Linked DNA regions of Callithrix jacchus. The protein of the gene in region 1 purifies or fractionates together with the protein of each later gene. This does not show direct contact. Links are inferred from orthologs where the notes say so. Each region holds a gene or a part of one and is shown on either strand. Other genes may lie near its edges. The genes, in order: SMARCD1, BCL7A, BICRA, BCL7B and SS18.

What was found.
Region 2: the proteins of SMARCD1 (region 1) and BCL7A purify together in Homo sapiens (affinity purification with mass spectrometry; 5 studies listed by BioGRID and IntAct, counting the BioPlex papers as one, with this or other methods). This does not show direct contact. The link is inferred for Callithrix jacchus from reciprocal best matches to the Homo sapiens genes SMARCD1 and BCL7A.
Region 3: the proteins of SMARCD1 (region 1) and BICRA purify together in Homo sapiens (affinity purification with mass spectrometry; 5 studies listed by BioGRID and IntAct, counting the BioPlex papers as one, with this or other methods). This does not show direct contact. The link is inferred for Callithrix jacchus from reciprocal best matches to the Homo sapiens genes SMARCD1 and BICRA.
Region 4: the proteins of SMARCD1 (region 1) and BCL7B purify together in Homo sapiens (affinity purification with mass spectrometry; 4 studies listed by BioGRID and IntAct, counting the BioPlex papers as one, with this or other methods). This does not show direct contact. The link is inferred for Callithrix jacchus from reciprocal best matches to the Homo sapiens genes SMARCD1 and BCL7B.
Region 5: the proteins of SMARCD1 (region 1) and SS18 purify together in Homo sapiens (affinity purification with mass spectrometry; 5 studies listed by BioGRID and IntAct, counting the BioPlex papers as one, with this or other methods). This does not show direct contact. The link is inferred for Callithrix jacchus from reciprocal best matches to the Homo sapiens genes SMARCD1 and SS18.

What each region holds. Positions count from the first base shown.
Region 1 is NC_133510.1:69,494,032-69,497,548, reverse strand, and holds part of SMARCD1 (SWI/SNF-related matrix-associated actin-dependent regulator of chromatin subfamily D member 1), read left to right. Parts: intron 1-162; coding exon 163-279; intron 280-1,540; coding exon 1,541-1,642; intron 1,643-1,895; coding exon 1,896-2,057; intron 2,058-2,150; coding exon 2,151-2,248; intron 2,249-3,517. UniProt on the Homo sapiens protein: Involved in transcriptional activation and repression of select genes by chromatin remodeling (alteration of DNA-nucleosome topology).
Region 2 is NC_133510.1:125,246,056-125,249,572, forward strand, and holds part of BCL7A (B-cell CLL/lymphoma 7 protein family member A), read left to right. Parts: intron 1-2,927; coding exon 2,928-3,035; intron 3,036-3,517.
Region 3 is NC_133523.1:41,625,082-41,628,598, forward strand, and holds part of BICRA (BRD4-interacting chromatin-remodeling complex-associated protein), read left to right. Parts: intron 1-3,204; coding exon 3,205-3,517. UniProt on the Homo sapiens protein: Component of SWI/SNF chromatin remodeling subcomplex GBAF that carries out key enzymatic activities, changing chromatin structure by altering DNA-histone contacts within a nucleosome in an ATP-dependent manner.
Region 4 is NC_133503.1:10,147,922-10,151,438, forward strand, and holds part of BCL7B (B-cell CLL/lymphoma 7 protein family member B), read left to right. Parts: intron 1-262; coding exon 263-433; intron 434-2,155; coding exon 2,156-2,235; intron 2,236-2,919; coding exon 2,920-3,012; 3' UTR 3,013-3,517. UniProt on the Homo sapiens protein: Positive regulator of apoptosis. Plays a role in the Wnt signaling pathway, negatively regulating the expression of Wnt signaling components CTNNB1 and HMGA1.
Region 5 is NC_133514.1:69,270,022-69,273,538, reverse strand, and holds part of SS18 (protein SSXT), read left to right. Parts: intron 1-1,108; coding exon 1,109-1,201; intron 1,202-1,905; coding exon 1,906-2,028; intron 2,029-3,517. UniProt on the Homo sapiens protein: Appears to function synergistically with RBM14 as a transcriptional coactivator. Isoform 1 and isoform 2 function in nuclear receptor coactivation. Isoform 1 and isoform 2 function in general transcriptional coactivation.

The DNA.
Region 1 (3,517 bases):
TGGTTTAATACCTGCAGAAGCCTACCTGTCTCTCCTAAGAGATATTCAGAAGATATTTTTGAGTTTTTTCCCATTGCTGTTGGGGTTCCTTTTTCATAGGATTTTGTCTTGGGAAGTTTCTTCTGGCCGTTTCTAACATGATTTTTCTTTTTTCTCCTCTAGTCAGCCTTGTCCAAATATGATGCCACTAAACAAAAGAGGAAGTTCTCTTCTTTTTTTAAGTCCTTGGTGATTGAACTGGACAAAGACCTGTATGGGCCAGACAACCATCTGGTAGAAGTGAGTAGTCTGCCTTCTAGGCTTTGACTCTGATTGAAGGATGAGATGGACTTGGGAGCCATATTTGAATGTCTAAGAAGGGGAGATAGAAAGTAGTCACTCTGGGTGTACACAGTACTACTCCAGGTATACGGTTTGCACATTGACCTCTAGGTGGCACTAGCATGTTTAGTTAGGACCAAGGGCTCTTGTAATCTAACTCGTCTCATCTTTTAATGTTACTATGCTGGTCACTGCGGCCTCTTTCAAGGGAAATTTTACTGGTGGCCTCTTGTACATGCCAGGCCATCTCTGCATCTTGCTTGCTAATGATGGTGAGACGTAGTTATCCATGCACCAATCATACTTTTTCCTGGTAGCAGTTGCTGTAATTAGAGGGATTGACTGATAGGGTACTAGTACTTGCCAGGGTCACCATCAGGAACTTCCTCTTGGTCTCTGCTCCATTTAGATTTACATTCCAATTCACCAAAAATCCTTTATTAAGATGCCTGATTGCACGCCGTTTTGAAGCCCATGTTAGCAACAGTATTCTTTGGGATACAGGCAAAACCAAATGATAGTCCAGCCAGCACTCCAAGTGAATTTAACCTGCTCCTTTCTTTGCCAGTGTAGCTGCAGCCCCTTAACCTCAACCACTAAGAGACATGGAAAGGTCTTTACCACCTAATAAGGGAAGTAAGTCATAGAATCAATAGAAATTTGTAAATATATTTAACTTAATTTTATAGCAATAGAGTATAGTGGTTAAGAATGTGGACTGTAGAATCAGACACACCAGAGCTCAGATCGCAGCTCCACCACTTACTGGCTGTTTGACCTAAGCAGGTTACTTTGTTCTGCTGAACATTAGTTTTCTCATCTGTAAAACAGGCATAAGTGTGCCTATCTTGTATAGATGTTTGGAAAGTGATAATCCAGGTAAATGTCTTAGAATATTCTTGCACAGGTACTCAGTAAATGATAGCTATGTTATGTTACTGTTCACATCTGTATTAGCCATTTTGTGGATAAAATTATCACTGGACATTCAGGCTTAATTGAATGTAACCACAAACAGAATTAAAAGGTTAATCTACTTATACACAGACAGTAATCCCAAAGCCATATGCAGTTTTTAAAAATGCCTCATGCTATTGCTATTACTCTTCTCCAGTAGCCTCAATAATCAAAGTTGAATATTCAGTCATTACAGAAGCTCTTCCCTCCCACCCCAGCTCTTCCTCTGGGAGAGCACCCCCTGACATCTTCCTCTCTGTAGTGGCACAGGACCGCCACTACCCAGGAGACCGACGGCTTTCAGGTGAAGCGACCGGGAGATGTGAATGTACGGTGTACTGTCCTACTGATGCTGGATTACCAGGTATTCTGTGGTGGTGTGAGGGGGTCCAGCTTTCACAGCCACATCCAGTCAGCAGTCTCCCCTTAAAGGGTTTACGTCTAATTGTGAATAATTTGTCACTTTGGCATAGAGATAAGAGTCTTAGTGATCTCTGAGTTCTTCCTAGAATGTTTCTGTCCCAGAGAAATCTCTACATTGTTTGTTGAATGGCTTGAATGTATTACTGCATATAGACCCAGCTAACTGGCTTCATATACCCTTTGGTTCCCTGCAGCCTCCCCAGTTTAAATTAGACCCCCGCCTAGCTCGGCTTCTGGGCATCCACACCCAGACTCGTCCAGTGATCATCCAAGCACTGTGGCAATATATTAAGACACATAAGCTCCAGGATCCTCATGAGCGGGAGTTTGTCATCTGTGACAAGTACCTGCAGCAGGTAAGTAATGGACACATTGCTTTGCTAGAATCCATTAAGACTACTAGTTATACTCAAAATGCTAACCTCAGGTGCTTCTGCCCTTTGCTACAGATCTTTGAGTCTCAACGTATGAAGTTTTCAGAGATCCCTCAGCGGCTCCATGCCTTGCTTATGCCACCAGAGCCTATCATCATTAATCATGTCATCAGGTAGGCCTGTGTGTGAGATGCAGTGCTGTGCTGGAGCTGCCTTCTACCGACTTGCACAAGCCAGTTGTCAAATTTTCAGGAATTTTGCAAACAGGTTGTTAAACAAAGCTGTTATTTACAATTAAATTATATAAACTTATAATTAAATATATTAGACTAAAAGTGGGTAACATAAACTCAAAATGTATTACTTCCTCATTATTACATTTTATTATATTTATGCTCTTGAGGTTATTTTTGCCTATTGTATTTGCTTGTTATATTTGCCTATTTTTATCTGGTGGAAATATGATATAATGTGTTTATCTGTTACTGCACATCTCTTCCCAACTCTGAACAGTAATGTGATGTTGGTAGCTTGAAATCAGAATATTTAAGCTCCGGAGATCAGCAGATGCCACACACCTGGGCTCTTCCTCCTGTCCTCCTTTGGAAGATCAGTTGTTAAGCATTTACCAGGTCTTCACTGACAGAAGGGCTCAGGGCCCATCTTTTCTCTGGGTGGTTCAGCATTCAAGTCTGAGCCTCCAATTACATTACTTCTATTCACTTTTTTGTTTAGAAGATGGAGAGCAAGGCACTTCTAGGCAGATAGGGAGTGAAAAAAAGTCGTTTCTTCTCAAAGCAGTGTGTCTCTGTAGTTGGATATAGTCTCCTTGCCTTCCTTTCTTTACTCAGTTTTAATTCCAGTAAGGGGTTTTTTTTTTCTTTTGACCCTGAACCTACAAGATGATAGAGAGGAAGATTTAAAAAAGAAGATAAGGCCCTGAACCATCACTAGTAGTAACTCCTCAACCTATAAATTAGGTCAGTAGAAGTTGGTCTGTCCTGTATTCCTGTGCTTAAAGTTAGACCACTTAAATTTTGTTTGACTTTCATTCTGGGGTCAATTTTAGTATAAAAAGGAGGAAGCCAGGCACAGTAACATGTTCCTTGTAGACCCAGCTACTCCAGAGGCTGAGGTGGGTGGATTGCTTGAGCCCCAGAGTTTGAATCCAGCCTGGGCAACGTAGCAAAATCCTGTCTCTGAAACAATGAAACAGGTTTGTTTGTTTAAACATAAAGACTCTCACTCTGTCACCCAGGCTGGAGTGCAGTGACACGATCTCGGCTCACTGCAACCGCTGCCTCTTAGGTACAAGCGATTCTCGTGCAAGTAGTTGTAATTATAGGCATGTGCCACCATGCTGGCTAATTTTGTATTTCTAGTAGAGATGGGGTTTCACCATGTTAGCCACGCTGGTCTTGAACTCCTGGCCTTGAGTGATC
Region 2 (3,517 bases), about 56 Mb from region 1:
GAGGAGAATTTCTTGAAACTGGGAGGAGGAGGTTGCAGTGAGCCAAGATTGCACCACTGTACTCCAGACTGGGCGAGAGAGCGAGGATGTGTTTAAAAAAAAAAAAAAAAATCCAGGTTTGTGGCCTGGACAAACTCTCCAGAAAAATCTAGACTGCTGAACAAACCAGGTCCCCAACATAGGTCCCTGTCCACTTTCTCATTTCCATTTTAGTGCATGTACAGCTGAAACCAAATCAGACAGCAGAGCATGTGACTGGGAAGGTCAGGGAAAGGTGTGGGCCGGCCAGGTTTTCTGGAAGGCTTCAAGTGGGAGGATATGTATAGCAGGAGGTGAAGGGAGAGGGTGGTGCCTTGGGCCCTTTGGTCCACAAGACCTTAACTCCAGCTAACTCAGCTGGAGTTAGCCCAAGTATTGGGGTCACACCGTTACCAGGCTACCAGCCTAGGCCCAGACGTTAAACATTAGTGCTTATTGTCATTAATTAACACAACCTCAGGAGCCTATGGGGCCAGCATCTTGCTCGAGTGCTGGCAGTAGGAAGGTAGTTCAGATTTTCTCAGAGGAGAAATTGGGGAGCACACATCCTTTTTAAGTTCTAGAATTCACAAGAGGATGCTTTTGTATAATGCGCACCCAAGTCCAGTTAAACTCAGGTCCAAGTTACCCGGGTGGGGCTGCCTGACTGCCTGGCTCTCTTCGGCAGGTTGAGGTAGAGGAGAGGCATGGGGCTGGGAGCTGGGCAGATGGGTCCGGCTAGTGGCTCTCCTGCTCCCAGCCTCGGTTTCCCCCTCTGGAAAGTGAAGGCGGTAATGGCGCCTCTCCAGTGGGTTGCTGGGAGGATTAGACGAGGTGACCACAAATGCTTTTCCCAGTGCCTCGCATATGGCAGGCACCCGGGTCTGTTGGGGTGTCTCTGTCTCTTTCTCATTCTGACAAAAGCGGTCGTCGCCCCAGGTGCAGCATGGCCCTTTATGATGCAAAGGCTGCTTCCTATTGCATCAGCTTTGAAACTTCCACTTGGGTCTCTGCTGTTTGAAATGACTCTCCTAGGTCTGGCATAGTGGCTCAGGCCTATGATCTCAGTGCTTTGGGAGGCCACGACAGGAGGATCACTTGAGCCCAGGGGTCCAAGACCAGCCTGGCAACATAGTGAGACCCCCATCTCTACAAAAAATTTAAAAATTAGCCAGAGACAGCGGCACATGCCTGTGGCCCCAGCTACTCAGGAGGCAGAGGCGGGAGGATGGCTTGTGCCTGAGAGTTCGAGGCTGCTCTGAGCTCTGATTGTGCTGCTGCACTCCAGCATGTGCGACACAGCAAGACCCTGTCTCTAAAATAAAAAGTACATAAATGGCTGGGCGTGCTGGCTCATGCCTGTCATCTCAGGACTTTGGGAGGTCAGGGCAGGCAGATCACCTGAGGTCAGGAGTTCGAGAGCAGTCTGGTCAATGTAGTGAAACCTTGTCTCTACCAAAAATAACAAAAATTAACCGGGCATGGTGGTGTGTGCCTATAATCAGAGCTACCTGGAAGGCTGAGGCATGAGAATTGCTTGAACTCAGGAGGCGGAGATTATAGTGAGCCGAGATTATGCCACTGCACTCCAGCCTGGGTGACAGTGAGATTCCATCTCAGAAAAATAGAGTGACTCTCTGTGCCTGAGAACAGGGTACAGGACAAGGGCAGGTGCACCCCAGGCCCCAGCTCTCCCCCCAGCCCGACTGTGAATGCCATTGCTCAGTTACCCCTTCCTCTTCTTCTTTGTGTTGTGAAGGGTTTTGTTGTCACGAACAGTAGAGAGAGGAATACGATTCCCCTATACCCTCCACCCTGATTTTCATGAACACATGCCGTATTTGCCTCACCAATTTTTTCAGTGTGTCGAATGTTTTAATTAAAAGATAATTCACAGTGGCTCAAGCCTGTAATCCTAGCACTTTGGGAGGCCGAGGCGGGTGGATCACGAGGTCAAGAAATCGAGACCATCCTGGTCAACATGGTGAAACCCCGTCTCTACTAAAAATACAAAAACTTAGCTGTGCCTGGTGGCACGTGCCTGTAATCCCAGCTACTCAGGAGCCTGAGGCAGGAGAATTGCCTGAACCCAGGAGGCAGAGGTTGCGGTGAGCCGAGATTGTGCCATTGCACTCCAGCCTGGGTAACAAGAGCAAAACCCCGTCTCAAAAAAAAAAAAAGATAATTCACATATTAAAATACACTACTAGTCGCTGGGTGCAGTGGTTCACACCTGTAATCCCAGTACTTTGGGAGGCCAAGGCAGGCAGATCACCTGAGGTCAAGAATTTGAGACCAGCCCGGAACGTGGTGAAACCCATCTCTACTAAAAATAGAAAAATCAGCCAGGTGTGGTGGCAGGCACCTGTAAATCTACTTGGGAGCCTGAAGCAGGAGAATTGCTTGAACCCGGGAGGCAGAGGTTGCAGTGAGCCCAGATTGCGCCATTGCACTCCAGTCTGGGTGACAGAGCAAGACTGTCTCAAAAAGTAAAGGTTCAAGGTGTCCTGGAAGTAGCATGTAGCTTGCATGGAAGCATTTTCTGGTAAATTTCCCTGCCTCATGACATTCAAGTCTGCAGCTATATCACAGCATACATTGCTAAAAACATGACGTTTCTGTATACCCACTGTCCCATGATCACTTCTAACAAAGTTAACACCAGTTCCTTAATAGCTTTAAAATCCAGATCGGATTCAGATTCCCCAGTTCCTAAGTGTTAAAGTTGGATCCAGATAATTCCCATACATCATGTTTAGTCGAGTCTCTTAGCTTTCTTTATTCGACGTCCATCTCCCCTCCTCTTTTTATTTTTTAATAAAAACGATACCGACTTTAAGGGAGGGGCCACATGTCCCGTGGAATGTGCTACCCTGGCTGCCTCTCGCTCCCTTTTATTTCCTATCTAGTGGAACTCAGCTCCAGCCTGGATGCGTTCATTCAGAACGTCTTGGCAGTCACGCCTCACGGACCATGCCGTGTCTTCCATATTGCTTCCCAGATACACAAGGCATCTGGTTTGTACACCCAGAATGAGGCCTCAAATGTCCCCCCAAGGTTTTAAATATGTTAGGCCACCATCCCCAGCTGGCTGCCTCCAGACACAGGGTACAGTTGGCTCAGTATGGGGAAGGTCAGGCCGGTGCCAGAATTCTTTGCCTCCCTGGACACATGGGACAGCTGTGGTGCTTGGAGGGTGTGGGGGACCTGCGGGGTCAGCTCAGGGGTCCCAGGAGGAGGAGTATCCAGACCCCTCCTGGATGGCTAGGCGAGATGGCTTACGGCTATAGTTCCAGCACTTTTGGAGACCAAGGTGGGTGGATCACCTGAGGTCAGAAGTTCGAGACCAGCCTGGCCAAAATGGTAAAACCCCATCTCTATTAAAAATACAAAATTAGCCAGGTGTGTTGGTGAGTGCCTGTAATCCCAGCTACTTGGGAGGCTGAGGCCAGAGAATCACTTGAACCCAGGAGGCAGAGGTTGTAGTGAGCCAAGATTG
Region 3 (3,517 bases), on another chromosome or scaffold:
GTTTTGCTGTGCATTTCTCTTATTTCAAGTAGGTTGAGCAGCTCTGAAAATACTTAAGCCTTCTGTGTTTCCTTTTCTGTGCACTGTCTGGTCATATTTTTTGCCCCTTTTTCTCACCTGTTGTAATTCTTAGTGATTTCTAGAGGCTCTTTATATATGAGAGAGGTTAACTTTGTGCCAGGAGTTGCAAGTATTTTCCCCAGCAAGTCATTTGGCGTATGACTTAAGTTGTGGGGGGTGTGTGTGTGTGTGTGTGTGTGCACTTTTAATGAGAATGAGATTAAAATTTTTTAATGTTTTAGCATCTTTAAGCTTTTTATATTTAAATGACTTCAAATACATAAAAAGTTTCAGGACTAGTACAAAGAGCTCACGGGAGTTCTTTACTCCTTAACAAGACGTGTTACTTATCTATTGCTATGCAGTAAATTACCCCCAAACTCAGCAGCTTAAAACAGCAGGCATTCACCTATCTCACACGGTCTCCAAGCATCAGGAAGCCGGAAGTTAGGAGGTTCTAGCTCTGGATCTTCCATGAGGTTATAGTCATGATGTCAGCTGGGGCTGTGGTCCTCTGAAGGTCCCACTGATCCCACACTCACTTGTGTGGCTGTTGTCAGGAGGCCTCAGTTATACCCTATGAGGGCTCTCCAAGGGGAAGCACATGACATGGAGAGGTTGGCTTCCTGCAAAGTGAGTGACCCAATAGAAACAGATGAGAAGGATCAGGATGGGAGCTGCAGGCTTTTTATAACTAATCTTGGAGGTGTCATGTGATCACTTCCACCAAATTTTGTTGGCTGCAAAGACCAGCAGTGGGAGGGGATTGAATACAGGGAGGTGGGGATTGGTGGTGGCTGCCGCACACACGTACCCATGGTCAGCCTTTTGCTGCATTTGCCTTGACCTTAGTGCCCTTGTTCTGTGTACATTTTTGTCTGAATCAGTTGAGAGTAAGTTGCAGTCATCATAACCATTTGCCCCTTAAATCTGTTCATTTATTTTTGAGTGAGTCTTGCTCTGTCACCCAGGGTGGAGTGCAGTGGTACAATCTTGGCTCACTGTAATCTCTGCCTCCTGGGTTCAAGAAATTCTCCTGTCTCAGCCTCCAGAGTAGCTGGGATTATAGGTGCCCACCACCATGCCTAGCTAATTTTGGGGTTTTTAGTAGAGATAAGGTTTTACCATGTTTACCAGGTTGGTCTTGAACTCCTGGGCTCCAGTGAGCCTCTGTGGCCAGCCTACCCCTGTTTTAGTGAATATTTCAGCCCTTGAGAACAAGGACATTCTCTTGACCATCATGCAGTGAAGAAATAAAGTAGACAGCATAGACACGGGACTGTTGTGAAATCCACTGTCCATAAACCGATTTAGCTAGTTGCCCAGGGATCCTGTAATGTATTCCTGTCGGTTTTCACGTAGTATCAGAGTGCCGCTATGTGCGGGACACCCCCTGAGCCCTTAGAACCTGTCGAGTGGGCCAGCTCTCTTCCCCTGCTCACTCAGCGACGCACCTGCCATTGGTCATCTGAGTCATTTCCCCTTTTCCTCTATTGTAAATACTCCCACAGTGGGTATCTCCATGAGTGAGTACTTCAATACTCTTTATCACAGATTCCTGGAGGGGGAATTTCCAGGTCACAGTCCTGACCCTGTCAAGAGTCCCCAGACCAAGCTGCCTCCCAGCGGGACTGTCCAGGGGGCATCCCAACCAGCTGCACACAGAGCCAGGGGCTGCCCCTCTGATCCCTTCTTAGAGGTGGCAAACCGTTCAGATGTCTGGATTGATTGATTGATTGGGTCGGTTTGGTTCTTTAATTGCCAGAAGTTACTCAGGGCCCAGCTTGGAAGGGATGCTGGAAGGGCCCTAGGACTTAGAGGCCGAAGCTGGTGGTGAGTCTGATGTCATGCTGAGATCCCTAGCTTTGGAGTGTGGGGATGCTGGCTGTCCTGGCCGGGTCCCCAGAGCCCTCTGAGCCTGGGCTCCGTCAGCTTTGAGAAACCACTCAGAAGTCACTGAGTTGTGTAAAGGCTTCAGTTCCACCTTCCCCTGCCTGGAGGGTCTGGACCAGTTTTGGCTCCTTGGCCTCAGTGTCTCATCTGTGAAATGGGTCCAATGTTGCCACTGCTCTCAGGGCTAGGGAGAGATCACACAAATGGGTGTGAGAGGCCAGCCATCCGTGTTAGATCAGCATGAGCTGTTACTAGGGTGTAGATTCTGTGACAGTAAGCGTCGCAGTGCCAGCCCAGTGTTGGGTACAGAGCTGGTGCCCACTGGCTACACAGCAGCTGCTCTGGTTATGATTTTTTGGAGGAGGGTTCAGAGGAGCAAGGTGCTCTGTCTCAGACAAGCTTCAGGCAAGGTGGGTGTGCGTGTGTGGTGGAAGTAACCCCAGATCGCGTGAGCTTGCAGGCACAGGCTTCGGCAGAGTCTGGTGCATCGCGCACAGGCACGCACGCCTGTACTTGCAAGCTCATGTGGTGGCCGGGTAGGCCTGTAGCCATGGCCATACGCACACAGAGGCGGGGGCCCAGGACATATAGAAGGGGGCCCAGGCCTTCCCGTGCCGTGTCCAGAGGTCCACACATGGCTGTGAACCCAGGCCTGGCCCTGTCCCCTCAGTGGCCATCTGTATCCTTGGCAGCCCCCATTCTGTGGCCATCAGCCCTGAGCCACGGTACACAGCATCACGCTGGTGTCTCTCTGCCTTGACTTGGCTGGAGGGGCGGGCGGGGGCTGGCAGCTGGGATGCTGCCCCGCCTGCCCTCCTTCCCCGCTGCTGTGCTCGCCGCCGCCCGCCTGGCCCTCCTGCCTCCTGCTGGGCAGCGGGTATGGTGCCCCTGCTGCCGCCGCCACGCTGCCTCTGCTTCCTCCGCTGCTGCCACCCCAACCCCGCAGGGCTCGCCTTCGTCCGGGGAACTGCTGGGGTGGGGGAGGAATGGGGCAGACAAGGAGGGTGAGATCCGAGGCCAGAGAAATGTGGAGGAGCTGGGTTGCGGGACAGAGATGGGGGCAGGTGGGGTGCACCATGGGGTGAGAGAGGGAGGGAAGGGCAGCCGTAATGGGGCCCCCCTCTCAGGACGGGGTGGGCTAGGAAGGGGGCTTCTGGTGGGGATGGCTGGGGTGCCCAGTGTCTTGGGGCAGTGGGAACCATGGTTGGTTCTGACCCTTGCGCCTCCCCTCTCCCTCCCTCCCCTGCCCAGATCCCAGCAGCGGCTCCACTGAAGGGCCCAGGCCCCTCTTCGTCCCCGTCACTACCTCACCAGGCCCCTCTGGGGGACAGCCCCCACCTACCCTCCCCACACCCTGCTCGGCCCCCTTCCCGTCCACCCTCCCGGCCCCAGAGCGTGTCCCGCCCTCCCTCGGAGCCAGCCCTGCACCCTTGCCCTCCACCCCAGGCCCCCCCCACTCTGCCTGGCATCTTTGTCATCCAGAACCAGCTGGGCGTTCCCCCACCTGCTAGCAACTCGGCCCCTACTGCTCCAGGTCCACCCCAGCCACCTCTCCGCCCCCAAT
Region 4 (3,517 bases), on another chromosome or scaffold:
CGTAAGTTTTAATCGGTGGATAATAAAGAAGGGTTTAATAAGCATCGCCTGACCTTCTTGAAGTGTAATATTGCAGAAACGTAAAGATTCTGGCTGCCTCTGGTGTTTAGACTGTATGTCGTGTAGGCTGGGCACAGTGATTACTGTGCTCACCTGTATCCTTGGCTGCCTAAAGTGGTGCCAGGTCCATGGCTCTGTCCAGAGTTCCTCTTGAGGAAAATGGCCACTTTCAGCTGCTGCCTTTGTTCTGTTCGGTTTTCAGATGAAAACAGCAACCAGAGTTCTGTGTCTGACGCCTACCAGCTCAAGGTGGACAGCAGCACCAACTCAAGCCCCAGCCCGCAGCAGAGTGAGTCCCTGAGCCCGGCACACACGTCCGACTTCCGCACAGACGACTCCCAGCCCCCAACCCTGGGTCAGGAGATCCTGGAGGGTGAGTCGCGATTGGCCCGGAGTGTCCTAGCAGGGCTCTGCTCCTGCTCCTGCTGCTTCTCATCTTCAGAGGACAAGGTCCGAGAGAACGCCTTAGAGCCAGGCGGCATCAAGCCGTTTCTCCACAGCTTGGGATACTTTGAGGAGTGACTCTATTTCACCCTTTCGCAGAGTGAAGGGAGAAAAGAAGCATTGGAGTTGAGTGCCAGGCTCTGTGAAAGGAGCTTGAGTACCTGACGCCTGGTATAGTTCCCTCAAAAGTCTGCACGGTGGCAGCTACTGTCTTCTTTTACAGATGAGGGAAAATGGAGGTTCAAGGCTTAGAAAGGTTCAGTCAGGCCAGGCACGGTGGCTCACACTTGTAATCTCAGCACTTTGGGAGGCCGAGGTGGGTGGGTCACTTGAAGCCAAGAGTTCAAGACCAGCCTGGCCAAGATGGCAAAACCCTATCTCTACTAAAAATATAAAAAATTTAGCCAGGCATGGTGGCGTATGCCTGTAATCCCAGCTACTGTGGAGGCGAAGGCAGAAGAATCGCTTGAACATGAGACAGAGGTTGCAGTGAGCTGAGATCAGACCAGTGCACTCCAACCTGGGCAACAGAGTGAGACTGTCTCCAAAAAAAAAAAAAAAAAAAAGTTAAATTGCTTGTCTAAGATCATCACGTAGCTAGTCTAGTAACTGTTGGAATGAATGTCACTTTATTTTTTTTTAACCTTTTTTTTTTTAAAGATGGGGTTTCAGCATGATGGCCAGGCTGGTCTTGAACTCCTGACCTCAGGTGATCCACCCACCTCGGCCTCCCAAAGTGCTAGGATTACAGGTGTGAGCTACTGCGCCCGGCCCTGGAATGAATGTCACTTTAAGTCCTTCTAACTTCAATTCATGCTGTCTTCATTATATCCTGCTAATTTTTTTTCCCTTTCCTTTTGTTTTTTGTAAAGACATAAGGTCTTACTCTATTGCCCAGGCTAGAATGCAGTGGCTGAATCCTAGCTCGCTGCAGTCTTGAACTTTTGGGGTCAAGTGATCCTCCTGCCTCAGACTCATAGGCCTGTGCCACCATGCCTGGGTATCTTTTAATTTTTTGTAGAAATGGGGTCTCACTCTGTTGCCTAGTCTGGTCTTGAACTCCTGGGTTCAAGCGATCCTCCCACCTCAACCTCCAGAGTAGCTGGAGCTTCTCTGGCGTGAGCAACCACGCCTGACCCAGGTTTCTTGTTAGAATGTGGGTAAGTAGATGTGTCTTAGGCCCTTGTTAACTTCTCCTGTGCTGTGACCTTTGAACAGCCGACTATAAAATGGAACTTGTTTCTCCATGGGAAGTGCCAATTGTCGTGAATATTGCGTTTCTGCTATTCAGCACGCGCTCTTCTTAGCTCCTGTGTTTATTACTTCATCGAGTCATCATAGCAGCTCTCGGAAAAGTGGGAGATTGAGTTAGAGTCTTGATGTTTGGGCTGAAGGATGACAAGATGAGCTGCTTTGTTGGTTCCAGATGTCTCCAGCCCAGTAGAGAGGGCCCTCTGCAGTCTAGCCATATTTTGCCCTTCCACCATTCATGGCTGTGGCCTGGTCCAGCCGGGCCCTGAGTGAATGTTCGCTTCCCAGGCCAGTGTTCTCTCCTCCCCACCAAGCCACTTCCACACCGCTCTAAGGAAGCTCCCCCAGGTCCAGGCCTTAGGGGGGCTCTGCCCTCGGGCTGACCCTGCTGCCTTTTCAGAGCCCTCCCTGCCCTCCTCGGAAGTTGCTGACGAACCTCCCACCCTCACCAAGGAAGAACCAGTTCCACTAGAGACACAGGTAAGCAGTCACTCGGCGCTTTCCAGTTGTGTGTGTGTGTGTGTTTTTTAAGACGGGGTTTTACCATGTTGGGCAGGCTGGGGTCTTGAACTCTTGACCTCAGGTGATCTGCCTGGCTTGGCCTCCAAAGTGCTTGGATTACAGGCATGAGCCACCACACCCGGCCGAGTTTTTCGGTTTTTTTGTTTGTTTGTTTCTTTGAGACGGGATTGCCCAGGCTGGAGTATAGTGGTGTGATCTTGGCTCACTGCAGTCTCCACCTCCTGGCTTCAATTGATTCTCCTGCCTCAGCCTCCCGAATAGCTGGAATTACAGGTGCCTGCAACCACACCTGGCTAATTTTTGTATTTTTAGTAGAGATGGGGTTTCACATGTTAGCCAGGGTGGTCTCCTGAGCTCAAGTGATCTGCCTGCCTCAGCCTCTCAAAGTGCTGGGATTACAGGCATGAGCCACTGTGCCCAGCCAGGCTTCCCAGTTCCTAAGACAAAAAACAGGAAAGACTGTGGATGTGGGATTGTATCTGCAGTGCTGGAAACTGGAGTCCCAGGATTGCAGGCAGGGGAGGAAGATGGATCATTTGTGAGAAGGAGCAGGTTGGGCATCCTATTATAATTCAGGTGGGTGGTAAGGCTCTGGTTGGGAGGGGTGGCTCTGTCATTATTCCATGCTCTGCCTTCTTCTAGGTCGCCGAAGAGGAGGAAGACTCAGGTGCCCCACCCCTGAAGCGCTTCTGTGTGGACCAACCCACAGTGCCGCAGACGGCGTCAGAAAGCTAGCACCGTCACAGCCCTCCGCCTCCTGGCCCTGCCTCTATTTATTGCATTCTGGTTCTGGCTGCGCTGTGTTGCTGGGGAAAGGGCAAGCACTGGGGTCGAGAGCCTGCACACATGAGCCTTCCGGGCTGGAAGGCTGGCATAGGATTTGGGGCTGTCACGTCATCTTCCCGTCCCTTGCACCTGTGTCTTCTTGCTCCCGAGAAGAGGAGCACTCACATCTTTTGCACCCCAAGTTGGCTGGAGCATTGGCCACCCCAGGATTCATCTGTCACCTCCAGGCAGCAGTCTCTGCTCCAGAACCTCTGGACTGAGCTGCTGGCAGCTTCCTTGAGAAGAGAGATGTGGAAGGCGCCCTCCAGAAGAGAGAGTGCCTAGGGTTACTTGAACTTGAATGAAGACTGTGGACTCCTGGACTTTCCCCTAGGGCTGGGGGCCCTGTAGGCTGCTGCTGGAGGAGGACTGTGTAGAGACGTTGGAGCGAAGGGAAGGGCTCTTCTCCACGAGG
Region 5 (3,517 bases), on another chromosome or scaffold:
TATAGATTAGGAATTGGCAAACTTTTTCTTTAAAGGGCCAGATAATAAATACTTTAGTCTTTGTGGGTCATATGGTCTTCGTCTCAATTACTGAACTCTTACTGTAGCATGAAAGCAGCTTTGGACTCTACTGAAATGAAAGGGCATGACTGTATTCCAATAAAACTTTATTTACAAAAACATGCCACTGGCCACAGTAAGACTGCAGGCCATAGTTTGCCAACCCTTGATGTAGGTATTTATGAGGTGGCATGGGAACATTAGAATACTAGAGCACCGTGTATAATGTTTATTTGTAACTTTATTCCTATGTTCTTAATTAGGCATTTTTGTAAAATAGAGTTCAGATTTTGGGTAACTAAAAGGTTATTTCCTACATTTTCTTAGTGAAACTTAAAGAGTGAGAGTATTATTTTTCATTAGAGTCCAGTTGTCTCGCAGGTAAAATTTATTGTGCTTTAAAATTTAAGATATATTCTCATACTCAACACAATTTTAATTTTATGAAGATGGATATTTATGATACTTGAAATATTTTCTAAAAATTTCCAAAATGGCAGTATTAAGATACATAATTTTCCATCTGAAGATATTTTGAGATACTTAACTTTATGCAAGTAAATGTTAGAATGTGAAATAATGGGAAAAACTTACAGAACTCTTTTAAATTTTGCAGTTTTTAGCATATGCTGTGGAATTGGAGACCAGCAGAACAGGTGTTTGACAAAATAGGATAATTGCCTCCTTTGTTCATTCTAATTTAATTTAGGTTATTTACATGTGAAAGACCTAGATACTTTTATTCTCTTTTTTTTTTTTAATTAATGGGAGATAAAGGTTTTTTTTCCCCTCAATGAGGATTATCAGATTTAAGACAATAAGTGTAATGTTTCTAAAACTACTGCTTTTTGCCTTTAAAACAATTTGCACGTTATCTCAATATGAAAACAATCACATTGGTAAATCTTTGGCTAATGCAATTGAAATAATTTTTTATGTTCCATTTCTTTTTCTTTTTTTTCAATTTTATCTGAAAGTTTAAATATTTTTAGGGTTTTCACTCAGTGGCCATTAACGTTTCTTCCTGTCTCTTGTCGAATTGATGTAGGTCATAATGATTACGGTTATCAGCAACCGTCGTATCCTGAACAAGGCTACGATAGGCCTTATGAGGATTCCTCACAACATTACTACGAAGGAGGTATCTATATACCTTCACACACATACACATATATCCCCTTCTACAGGAATGAAAATTCTTGCATAAGACAACTTCTACCCATGCAAAGCTCTTGTAGAATATTAGTTGCTGGCTGTCTTGAAAGTTACAGGGAGCCCAAAACAATCAAAATAATTTCCTTACAAATATTTAAAATGTATAACCATGACTTGCCATTTCTAACAATAATAAAAAGACTAAAACATTAAAGATAATTTTTTCCTCGGTGGAAATTTTCTATTTGAACATAAATCCATCAGTCCAACTTTTTTTTCTCGTGTATGTTTACATATGTATAATTTTACATATAAGTATAGTGCCTTTAGGAAACAGCTTGCTGATCTCGTGTAGCTAGTGTGTGCTCTTGTAGCTGTCTTTAATTTTGTCTTTTTTATTTTATTTAGCATAGTCATGATCTTATGACTGTGATGTTCCAGTAAATGTAATGCTCGTATGGCAGAGACGCTGAAAATGCTGCAGTTCAACCTTGCAAAATTGGCTTTAACTGCAGTTTGTTTGACCGATATCCTTCTGTTTGGTTTGAGTTTTTTCTTTGTTTTGTTAACTTCTAAAAATCAATATGGCATTTCATTTTGTTCTTGTGTTGTTGGCTATGCATCTTAGAGGGAAAAAAGTTAATTAAGCAAACTTCTCAGTTTTTTTCTTCTTCTCCAATTACCCTTTAGGAAATTCACAGTATGGCCAACAGCAGGATGCATACCAGGGACCACCTCCACAACAGGGATATCCACCCCAGCAGCAGCAGTACCCAGGGCAGCAGGGTTACCCAGGACAGCAGCAGGGCTATGGTAAAGCTTTGTACAGTTTATTTTTATCACCAAAAAATGTGGTGATGATTGTTTTAAAATGTGGAAGTGGGTATTTAATATTTAGTACTTATTTTTCCAATAATTACTACTTGAAAATTCAGTTTTAGCCTAGTCTGCTATTAAAATGGTGGTTTAAAATGTTGCTGTTAGATAAACTGGTAACCTTTTTAAAAAGAACTACAAACCAGAGATGGTTCATTGACCAAAGATAAGGTGTGAAGTCATTTAAAAGAAGAAAAATGAATTCTTAGATCTATTTGTCCTGCTTAACTAGTAGCCTTGTATGTGCTTGGAAAACTGATGATTGGGTAATTATTAAACATATGTGTATAATCTGAATAGCAAATTTATTTTTAAAAACTAATGGCCAACATTTTTTTTTAAACACATTGATTTTTTTTTTTTTTGAGTACAAATGAGATCTATTCAGAATGGATAAAGGAAACATTTTTGTCATTCCCTGGTTAACATAGCAATATGCATATCCATCCGGATGAATTTATTGTAGCTGTGAATCATGCAGAATTTGGGAGAAGTATAGCTGTATTTTCTTAATATATACTCATTTATAATATCTACAACCTGGATATCAGACTTTAAAATTTACTTATTAGATAGGGTGTGGGGAATGATGAGGACCTGTTATTTTAATCTTCACTCTAAGGCTACTATAACCATCTTAAATATAGCTCTATTGAAAGAAGTAGTTGCTTAAGAATACTGACTCCATCTTTTCCTAATAGGGTCTCTTTTTCACATTAGTAATATCTTATTATTTTTAGTCATTGACTTAAGCTCTGCTGTTGCTGTGGGCATCTCTGTCTACCTGTGATAGCAAATCTTAGAACTATGGTCAGACTGAAATTCTCTTGCCCCCTCAACATATGTGTTGAAACTCAATCAGATATTGGGGAGTCAGGTATTTTTCTAAAAATGGTAAGTTCTGATTTCCAAATTTTAGATGTGACTTTAGAAATATTCCATGGATTTTTTTTTCCCACGAAGGAAGTTTCTTGCCCTTCCCAGATGGCCTTTTCATTTTGTCTCTACTTAGTATTTATACTTTGAGTAAATTCAGTGTTCTGGTTTTATTGCATTTGCATGAAAACAGATGTAATGCAGCTAAATTAGGTAACTTCATTGGCTTAAGAGATATATCTTCATTGGTAAGAGAGGGTGAAATAAAGCTTAATTTTTGTATTATAGTTAAATGCTGTTTTGTTAGACGTCAGGAATTCTAAGATAAATTTCTGTTTTGTTTATCCATAGGCTTGTTGTCAAAAAAAAAACTTTATTTGTACTCAAAAAACTTTATTTCTAATGGAAATAAAGTTTTAATAATTTAATATTAATAAATAAATAACAGACTGATGGAATTCATTTAAGCTTGAAAACTTACTGTTCTCTTTTGATAGTTTTCTCTGAAGTCAGTGTTTTTATGGCAGGATTTGAATGGCTACGATAGAAA